Saccharomyces cerevisiae S288C: one gene and its partners. Each later gene encodes a partner of the first gene's protein in a complex. Each region holds a gene or a part of one and is shown in the gene's direction. Other genes may lie near its edges. The genes, in order: POP4, POP3 and POP6.

What was found.
Region 2: POP4 (region 1) and POP3 share a complex: the UniProt entries of both Saccharomyces cerevisiae proteins name them as parts of the nuclear RNase P and RNase MRP complex.
Region 3: POP4 (region 1) and POP6 share a complex: the UniProt entries of both Saccharomyces cerevisiae proteins name them as parts of the nuclear RNase P and RNase MRP complex.

The regions. Positions count from the first base shown.
Region 1 is NC_001134.8:726,741-730,242, forward strand, and holds POP4 (RNase P/RNase MRP complex subunit), read left to right. Parts: upstream 1-2,144; coding exon 2,145-2,984; downstream 2,985-3,502. Other genes in the region: RCF3 (Rcf3p), read right to left, coding at 1-177, 272-334; RIB5 (riboflavin synthase), read right to left, coding at 646-1,362; SHG1 (Shg1p), read right to left, coding at 2,994-3,422. UniProt on the Saccharomyces cerevisiae protein: Required for 5.8S rRNA and tRNA processing; associated with RNase MRP and RNase P.
Region 2 is NC_001146.8:105,556-108,805, forward strand, and holds POP3 (Pop3p), read left to right. Parts: upstream 1-2,131; coding exon 2,132-2,719; downstream 2,720-3,250. Other genes in the region: WSC2 (Wsc2p), read right to left, coding at 1-1,140; HCH1 (Hch1p), read left to right, coding at 2,912-3,250. UniProt on the Saccharomyces cerevisiae protein: Required for processing of 5.8S rRNA (short form) at site A3 and for 5'- and 3'-processing of pre-tRNA.
Region 3 is NC_001139.9:545,129-548,267, reverse strand, and holds POP6 (ribonuclease P/MRP protein subunit POP6), read left to right. Parts: upstream 1-2,110; coding exon 2,111-2,587; downstream 2,588-3,139. Other genes in the region: 1,3-beta-glucan synthase GSC2, read right to left, coding at 1-4; NAG1 (Nag1p), read left to right, coding at 968-1,459; IMO32 (Imo32p), read right to left, coding at 799-1,827. UniProt on the Saccharomyces cerevisiae protein: Component of ribonuclease P, a protein complex that generates mature tRNA molecules by cleaving their 5'-ends. Also a component of RNase MRP, which cleaves pre-rRNA sequences.

The DNA.
Region 1 (3,502 bases):
GAGCAATTGCTTATCAGCTCTGAAGACAGCACCCATTGAAATCCAAGAACAATGATAAAAAACACGCACTTGAGTTCTGACATTTCTATATACTGATGAAAATCTTCTCAACAGCAGCGCTGAGGCAATACTGAAGAGAGCACCTTGGGCAGCTCCTATACATGATGCAACAGTAATCTACGAATGAGAAAGAAGGTTAATTAGACTTGTGTTAGCGATTTATTCTGGGGTGAACAAGACAGGGCCAGATATATTCTTGAATTTTACATACTTCTTTAGTTAATTGTTTAACAGTTTTGGGGTCATAATGAATGGGGAGAACGTTACCACCCATAGTAGCAGCAGTTTTTGTGTCGTTGGTATTTAGGGACGGTTGGTTACAGTGGCAATAATTGGAAAGTTCTTTCACAACAACACAAAAAAGGTGGAGAGAATAATTTGTACGGAAAAAGTTATACCTTTGCATGTCACGTGAACCAACAGAACATGGTAATACATAATGAAGAGAAGTTGCCTAAGTACCTTAGCTACAGTACCAAGTTCTAATCTCATCATTATCACACATTTACAAGACTATTTTTGCAGCAGATGGAGAGATCACTTCAAAAATGCGTTTATGAAACCTATTTATGACGAATTTTTTATTTATTTATTTAGGTAGTTTCTAACCTTCTCCTCGATAATGTTTGAGATCATAGTATTCAAAGTACTATCTTTCTTTGATATTTGGTTTTCCAACGTTAATAGAATTTGCTTCTCAATAATCTTCCCAGTCAAATCTACTTCAATATTAACCTCGTCGCCAATTTTCTTCAAAGGCATGATAACATTGTCTTGGGTGTGCTTTATCATACTAATATAGAAGGCTCCACCTTGCGAAAGTGGGTCAACCTTGATTATGGTCAAGGAAGTTCCATCTATACAAATGAATCCCTTTTCTACTATGTATTTAAAGTACTCTTGATCTCTTAACTGAAACCCAAAAATAATTGAATTCCCCTCAGGTCTTCTTGAGACAATATTAGCAACAGTGTCTACGTGACCCTGTACATAATGACCACCGAACCTAACGTCTTGAGATACCGCTCTCTCCAAGTTGACCTGGGTGCCTTGAATCCAGGAAGCGACATTACTTCGTTTTATAGTTTCTGGTGATATCCCAACTTTGAAGGAGTCGTTATTAAACTCGGTCACAGTAAGGCATACCCCATTTACGGCTATTGAATCTCCAACGTGACAATCGGTGAGAATACTCCCCGCATTGCCAATAGTAATAGAAACTCCTTGACCTCCACTTTCAGAGTCATCATATGGGTTGTTTTCCAAAACAGTCCCCATGCATTCTACAATACCAGTAAACATTGTGCTATGGTTACGATCTCACCAATTGGTTTGACATGTACGTTAGGAAGTACCGTCTTTTTATATCATTTGGATGGATCTGGAATATGACTAATAGATAGTTCAATAACCTTCCTCCATGGAAATTACCGAAAAAAAAGAAAAGGACGGAATTGGTACCCGGAGAGTACTTGGGCGGCTACTTTAGTTTTATATAAACCAATATCGAAGACAGTGATCTTTTTACAGCGAGCTTGAACACAAAATAACTACCGGGGGTAATCGTTCCCACAGAGGCAACATTAATGAATCCTGGGTTAACATTAATACCTACGCGACAAAAATCAATAAAAGAGATTGCTAGCCATAAATGAAAAAAGAGGAAAAAACATGCAGATTGTTTTTGAGCTTTTATGTCATAACAGGTGTATTTATAGCAGTATGAATAGTTTTACTAGCCAATATTCATTTTTTTTGAATCGATGTAAAATTTTTGGATACAAGAAAAATTGCACAATGTTAAATTTCTACAGAAAGCTCATGCAAAGGATGGAAAACTGAGCATTACTGGCAGCTTTGTGGGGTAGTTAAAGAAGTTTATTCTCCGTGGTTGCAGCTGTGGTGGTCTTTTTACTGCCTTTATATCCCAATTCATCCGCTTTTTACCCGGTCCGTTGATTTGAGAAAAAAAATGGTACTCAAAATAGTATGGCAAATATACTCGATGACATGAATAAGCGGAGAGCAATAATCTGTAAAGACTAAAGAAAATAAGCACGATTTGGACTCCCCTATTTGTCAGAATGGATAGAACTCAAACGTTTATTAAAGACTGTCTTTTCACGAAATGCCTGGAGGACCCTGAAAAGCCCTTTAATGAAAATAGATTTCAAGATACGTTGTTGCTACTGCCAACTGATGGCGGATTGACTTCAAGGCTTCAGAGACAGCAAAGAAAATCAAAGCTAAATCTTGACAATTTACAAAAGGTCTCCCAGTTAGAGAGTGCAGACAAACAGTTGGAAAAAAGAGATTACCAAAGAATCAACAAGAACTCTAAAATCGCATTAAGAGAGTACATCAATAATTGTAAAAAAAATACAAAAAAATGTCTGAAATTGGCATACGAAAATAAAATTACTGATAAGGAAGACCTTTTACACTACATAGAGGAGAAGCATCCAACGATATACGAATCATTACCGCAGTACGTTGATTTTGTACCGATGTATAAGGAACTATGGATTAACTATATTAAAGAACTTTTGAACATTACAAAAAACTTAAAAACATTCAATGGATCATTAGCATTATTAAAACTATCTATGGCAGACTATAATGGTGCGCTGTTACGCGTTACAAAGAGCAAAAATAAGACTTTAATAGGCCTTCAAGGCATTGTGATCTGGGACTCTCAGAAATTTTTTATCATGATTGTCAAGGGCAATATAATAGACGAAATAAAATGCATTCCAAAAAAGGGCACAGTATTTCAATTTGAAATCCCAATATCAGATGACGACGATTCGGCATTGAGATATAGTATACTAGGCGATAGGTTCAAGTACAGAAGTGTGGATCGTGCAGGCAGGAAGTTCAAAAGTCGTCGTTGTGATGATATGCTATATTATATACAGAATTAGTAAGAGTTATTACGTACTTCCATTTGCTTCCTCTTCATAAGAGTTCAGTGTTTCCTGAAGTTGTCCCTTTATCATTTCCAATAGTTTGGGATCCTGTAACTTAGACCGTACATAGACATCCAAGTCAAATTTCTTCTCACCATCACCATTATCCCCCTCCATTTTACTACCCAGCTTTAGGTAGTTGTCCTTGACCAATTGTGATTCAATCAATGCACTGGTTAGCCCTCTGTTTTTAAATATTAATTCTTCATCTTCGTTAACCATTTCTTTAACAGTACTGGCAACTCTTTTCCGAAGCGCTTGTTCAAAAGATTCACTATTCTCTTCTGTATTATTCCATGGGTTAGACAATATTTCTCTTTTCAACTTGTCAAAATGTCCCTCCTTCTTATACTTGTCTGATAGTCTTTTACTATCTTCTTGATTATACGCCATTTTTTGGATTTGAAATAAGCTCTACTCTCTTATACTGTGTTTCAGCTTCGCTAAATAAAGAACTGATTTTCTTACGTATT
Region 2 (3,250 bases), on another chromosome or scaffold:
TGGAATAACAGGGTTAGCGTCAGCATCACCCAGTGAGTACGGCTGGTACTGCTTTGTCTCTTCCAAGTCCACATGCTGAGAAGATTGGCGACGTTTTTTCCATACGAAAAAGAATAACGCCAGAGCCAACAAGGCAACTGTACCACAAACCACACCTACTACGACACCTGCGATGGCGCCACCACTCAAGCCTTTGCTCTTGGACGAGCTCGATTTCCCGTTTAAGAGAGAACTAGTAGAGGAGGACGTAGACGATACTGTTGCATAAACAGAGGTCCTGGTGGTAAAGATCGTGCTTGCTTGTTGGTTAGCTTGAGAAACCACGGACTGCGTCACCACACGGGTAGTGTAATGCGTGGAAGTACCTATTGAAGTCGATGAGGGGGTAGAAGTGACCGTTGCTGTCGAAGTTGAGGATGAGGTCGATGTGGTGGATGAAGAAGTTGCCTGCGTAGAGGACGTTTCTGAACTGGAAGAGGCAGAAGTGCTAGAGGAAGTGGTGGAAGGAGAAGAAGAAGTAGAAGTAGTACTAGAGGTAGTAGAAGTAGTAGAAGTAGTAGACGTAGAAGAGGAAGAGGATGAAGAAGAGGAGGAAGTAGTTGTCTCTGAAGAGGAAGTGGTAGTGGAGGTTGTAGACGAGGAAGAGGATGAGTGCGTAGCAGAAGAACTAGTTGAAGTTTTCGTGTCCAATTTCGTGGACGTTTTTGAACTAACACTTGTGCTTGATGAAGATGTTGTCGATGTTGAGGTAGCAGTAGATGAAGTTGAGTCCGCGGTAGAAGCAGCGTTATTGATATAAACGTTCATGGCAGAAGAACCACCACAATTTTGGTAGGGCCAGCCAGCACACGAAACATCACATTTGCTCGAATCTACCTGCGTCAAAGACTGTAACTGAGCTACGGAACCACCACAGTAGCAACCTGTACCGTTGAAAAGAGCAACGACAGCCTGACCAGGGCATTCATTTTGACAGTAGGAAACTGATTGATACTCGTAAACACCCTTGTAAGTCAACCCCAATTTTCGTATATCACTAGCTGAATAGCAAGCTTTATATGTGAATTGGTCAGCCAACGCGGCTCGTATATATATGAGCCACACTAAGATGAAGGACTTGTGTATGAGATCTAGGTGCATATTCCACTTCTATAATGCTGTTGGTCAAAAAGAAATTCAAAGAAGAAACAATTAGAAACCAGAAAGTCTGTAAAAATACAAAAAAGCGTGTCCTATAACCGAACAGCAATGTTTGTTTTCACTAGATTTGTTTTCTTTTGGCGAAAAACGAAGGTAGAAATGAAAGTAAAAAAAGAGCAATAATGGTAAATCAAAGGCTAGCCACGCTTTGAGCTATAGTTGGTCGTGCTGAGCAATAGTAAAGAATTGAAAAAGCGAGTGGATGATTTGAAAACTGCTTATATGTTTTACGTTGAGGGTTTCTCCTCTTTATTTCTTCGAAGGACGGAGGACAGGTATAAAGCAGTCGCTGGAACTCTTTTCCCTGACAATCTTAAAAAGAAAGACCGAAACAGAGTGTTATAAAACGAAACAAAAAACCTGCTGTAAATGCACTTCTGGGAGAAGTGCTAGATCACAACATACAAACATATGCAAATTCATAGTAAAAGGAGATAGGGCCCAGATGACCAAATCAAGAATGGCTCACTGTTGAAACATTCTGCTTAATGTCGAAACAGTCCGTAAACAAACACATTCCCACAAAACACCGCACCGCGAAAAAAAAAAAAAACAGGAAAAAACGCGAAATGTCCGTAACTTTACCCGGTAATAGTCACGTGATAAAGGTGCATTGGTCTAGCTGGCTGTTCTGGCCAACGCGACAGCAGGGTTCATACTTTCAGTAGAACAAAAATCGGGGGAAATGCGATGCACTCTTTAACTGCAATTATGCACATCCTATTGCCAGGGCGGATATTTGATGTTGTTCTCAGATATGTATTCCCTGATCTATACCGTTCTCATAGTTCAATTTTCTCTGATTTTCTCGTGCGGGCAATAAGTAAAAAATAGCATTTGCGTGCTTAAGTGAAATTTTTCAGATTATGAGTGATATAGAGATGAGGACTGTAACAAGAAGGAAGGTGAGGAAATCAAGACGGTAAGTAGCATGTCCGGGTCGTTAAAATCTCTAGACAAGAAAATAGCTAAAAGAAGGCAGGTGTATAAGCCCGTGCTAGACAATCCGTTCACAAACGAAGCACATATGTGGCCGCGCGTGCATGATCAGCCATTGATTTGGCAGCTGCTGCAATCCTCTATCATAAATAAGTTGATTCACATTCAATCGAAGGAGAACTACCCTTGGGAGCTGTATACAGATTTCAATGAAATTGTGCAGTATTTGAGCGGCGCTCACGGAAACAGCGACCCAGTATGTCTATTTGTGTGCAATAAGGACCCTGATGTACCGCTTGTGCTCTTGCAGCAAATCCCGCTATTATGCTATATGGCGCCCATGACGGTTAAACTGGTGCAGTTGCCCAAGAGTGCCATGGATACCTTCAAGTCGGTTTCTAAATATGGAATGCTGCTGCTGCGGTGCGACGATAGGGTCGACAAGAAATTCGTATCGCAGATCCAGAAGAACGTTGATCTGCTTCAGTTTCCCTGGTTAAATGCTATCAAGTATCGGCCCACATCTGTCAAGCTGTTGAAAACTACAGTGCCAATTGTCTCGAAGAAGAGGCAAAAGTAGACAAAATTACCCGCGCAGGCCTATTTTTCTAGAAGACAGAAGAAAAAAGTGGGCAGAGAAAGCGAGGAAAAAAAGAAATACATATGAAGAAGAAAAAAGCTGAAATTTAAGCAAATACTTTTTGGACAAAATCATCAAACTACTACTAAAGTTTGAAACGATCGGAAAGTTACAACACATTTACGATAAAATATGGTTGTCTTGAATCCAAATAACTGGCATTGGGTGGATAAAAACACCTTACCTTGGTCTAAGGACTACTTGAACGGTAAATTAACGAGTTTGTCCACTGTTTCCTCTGATGGGAAGAGCAAAATTGAGTTAACCCAGGTGAGTAGCATCACCGGTGACTCCAACGTATCTCAAAGGAAGGGCAAGCCGATTTGCTACTTTGACTTACAGTTGTCGATGAACGTCAAAGTGACAAATTTGGATACTAATAAGGACGACGAGGATGATGACGGCATACTTGCGGACGGGAAACTAGAAATTCCAGAGTTTATGCATGACGAGTCTGATATTCCGATTTTG
Region 3 (3,139 bases), on another chromosome or scaffold:
ACATAACTATGACAGTTTAATAATTATTTATTGTCCACTTTTTATTTTTTTCCTTTTCTTCTCTTTACAGGAGTGTATCCAAACAGCGCTTCGATTAATCCTTTTGTAACTTCTTTAATATGCCTGCAGAAAATATATGCGGCGTTCTTTGTAACCTTTGATCTTCAGTAGTATCTAGCAAGCACCAAAAAAAAAAAGGAAAAGCAAAAGAGAGATGTAAAAATAAACGAAGGATGCGTGCTGGGTAGACTTTTAGTAGAACTCTAAGTGTGAAGTATATATACAAATAACAAAAATAATATATGAATAAATGCAGTACTTTATGAAACTCTATTCTTAGCACACCAGTTGAAATACACAACGTAAGCTTTTATTTTTGTATCTTGAATTTCGTGTCACACACTCTTTGCGTTCCTGCTCTCTTGTTCTCTGGTGAACTCGAAATAAGCAGTAGAGAAAATAAAGGAGAAACAGGGAAGAAATGGAGAGAACGAACGAGGCTTTATCTCATTTTATTCTACTCTTTGCTATATATACATACGTACACCTCATTTGCATCATACCGCCCAAATTTCTTTAGCCACAATTCCATGTTCGAACCGCGAACGTGAAACTGACGATCTTATCGTATGCATCAGCATCATCTCTTTTGGCGATTTGCCGTTACTAGGCCTTTAAACTGGTGTGGCACTGCCTACACCCCATCACCACTCACACAATAGTCCGTATGTCATGTGCTACGGCAAGCGCACAGCCACCGACTGGTGCTACTGGCACCTTGCTCCGGGGCGCTTGCCTTTAATCCTCGTGCCGCTCCACAAAATCGACGATGCTTTCGGCACATTCCCCAGGCTTCTCCGCATTTACCCAGTGACCCGCATCGATGTCACGTGTTTCAAAGCGTGGAAAGAACGCGCCGATGATCGGAAGATACTCGTCTACCACATAATGCGATTGAGTAGCCCTGATGAATAGCGCAGGCCGCGTCCATCGTTCACGAGCAGGATCTAGGGGCCACGCGGCAATTTCACCTTTGACAATGGCATCTTTCAGTGTTGCGAGGGGAATTCGTTCTTCGAATGTATATGACGACACAGACGATGAATTGTCCATCTTGACCTTTTTCAGCGCCGTTAGGAGAAACCGCCTTACTAGCTCATTGCCGCCGATCCTCTCTGCAAGGTGTTCATCAGCCTGTTTCAGCGTGCGGATAGTTTTGCCCTTGTCGTTGACGATTTCCATCAGCGCTTTGATGTATTCGACAAACTCAGCGTTAGGGCGCAAACTCACCGGAGCGTTCTCTATACAGACTAACATCGAACAAAGTTGCGGGTTTTTCAGGACCAGCATCATGGCAACTTTACCACCCATTGAGTGTCCTATTATAATAGGGCCTCCATTGGTGTTTAATTCGTGCTTTGTGATAAAGTGTTTCACGTCTTCCGACATGACTTCGTAGTTATGGACTGAACTGTGTGGTGAGGATCCATGATTTCTTAGGTCCAGCAGATACACGTCTCTTCCCAATTTCTTGTTAAGGTTACGGCCAATGCTTCGGTTGTTGAGCTTGTTACCGAATAAGCCGTGAAGTATGATAATAGGTGGTCTTGGCTTCCCTTCATCCCCAGTTTTTACTGCATCTCTCTTGATTATGTCATATGAAAGGTCCAGTGGGACTTGCTTTTGTTGCAGCACCTTTGCTAATGAATGAAAGGCACATAGTGACTGCTTAAAAATGCAGGAACTTAAATTATTCCGAATGGTATTTTGTCTCACATATATTGTCCCATACTGTGCCAGGATCCCGGCTTTACCCAGTATCATCATTGTACCGTTACCAATTCTCCTCGTATATCACGGTTAGTTTTTAAACCTCGGGGTGACGTTTACTATTGGCGTACTAATATATTCTTATTTTCTTTTCTTTTTTGTTGGCAGTTTCAAGCAACACATGTACTGGATAACCAACCCCCGCACGCTCTTGGAAAAAATTGAGAAGGCATCGGACACTTGCTGATGAGTATTTCGAAAAATTCCATGAAGATGAGGCCAAGATTGTTTGGAAGAGATTGAAAAGAAGAAGAAGAAAAAAAGATAAAAGCAAATCAAAATGATCAATGGCGTATATTACAATGAAATTAGTAGAGATTTGGATATCTCTTCCTCCACTCAATGTCTTCGGTTTCTCAAAGAAACAGTTATACCGTCCTTAGCAAATAATGGTAACAACAGTACATCAATACAGTATCATGGCATATCGAAGAACGATAACATTAAGAAGTCTGTAAATAAGTTAGATAAACAAATCAACATGGCAGATAGAAGTTTGGGTCTACAACAAGTAGTTTGTATATTCTCTTACGGTCCACATATTCAAAAAATGTTAAGTATTTTGGAAATATTTAAAAAGGGTTATATTAAGAACAATAAGAAAATTTATCAGTGGAATAAATTAACATCGTTCGATATAAAAAGAGAAGGCAGAAATGAACTACAGGAAGAAAGGCTCAAGGTTCCAATTTTGGTCACCCTTGTTTCTGATTCAGAGATCATTGATTTAAACCTACATTCATTCACCAAACAATAAATCGACCAGCTCTTTAGCATCCATAGCTACTTCTTGCATTTGTACTTTATAATATAAAGCATTTTTAGAAGGCTTAATCGATATCAGAACTACCAATTGTTCCTACTACAAGAAGTATGTGTCATTGAATGAAAGAAAAAAGGATGCATGGAAATAGCACAACTTTATTTATTTTCTTCCCTTTGGAAATCGGAAATTCAATGATATGCCCTCTGATATAATAGCAAAGACATGATCGTTAATTTAGGCCTCGCTTTGAATCCATAAACCACCGCAAAAATGCAAAATCTACGGATCTTCGAAGAGGCCATGTTTATGTTGGTGAAGTTTGTCACAAGAACCCTAAAACTTTCACTAACATATACAGTCTTGACCCATGACAATAAAGGAATATGGAAAAATATAAAAAAAGATTGTTAGGCTCCTACTTAGCAACTTTTCTTATTTCCATATTCTAGTATCAGTGGTCACTGTGAAGTAGTTCCCTTAAACAATTTCTACTTTTCACTAGATATAAAGTAAAATGAAAGTATGCCAAATTCGTGTCTGTGT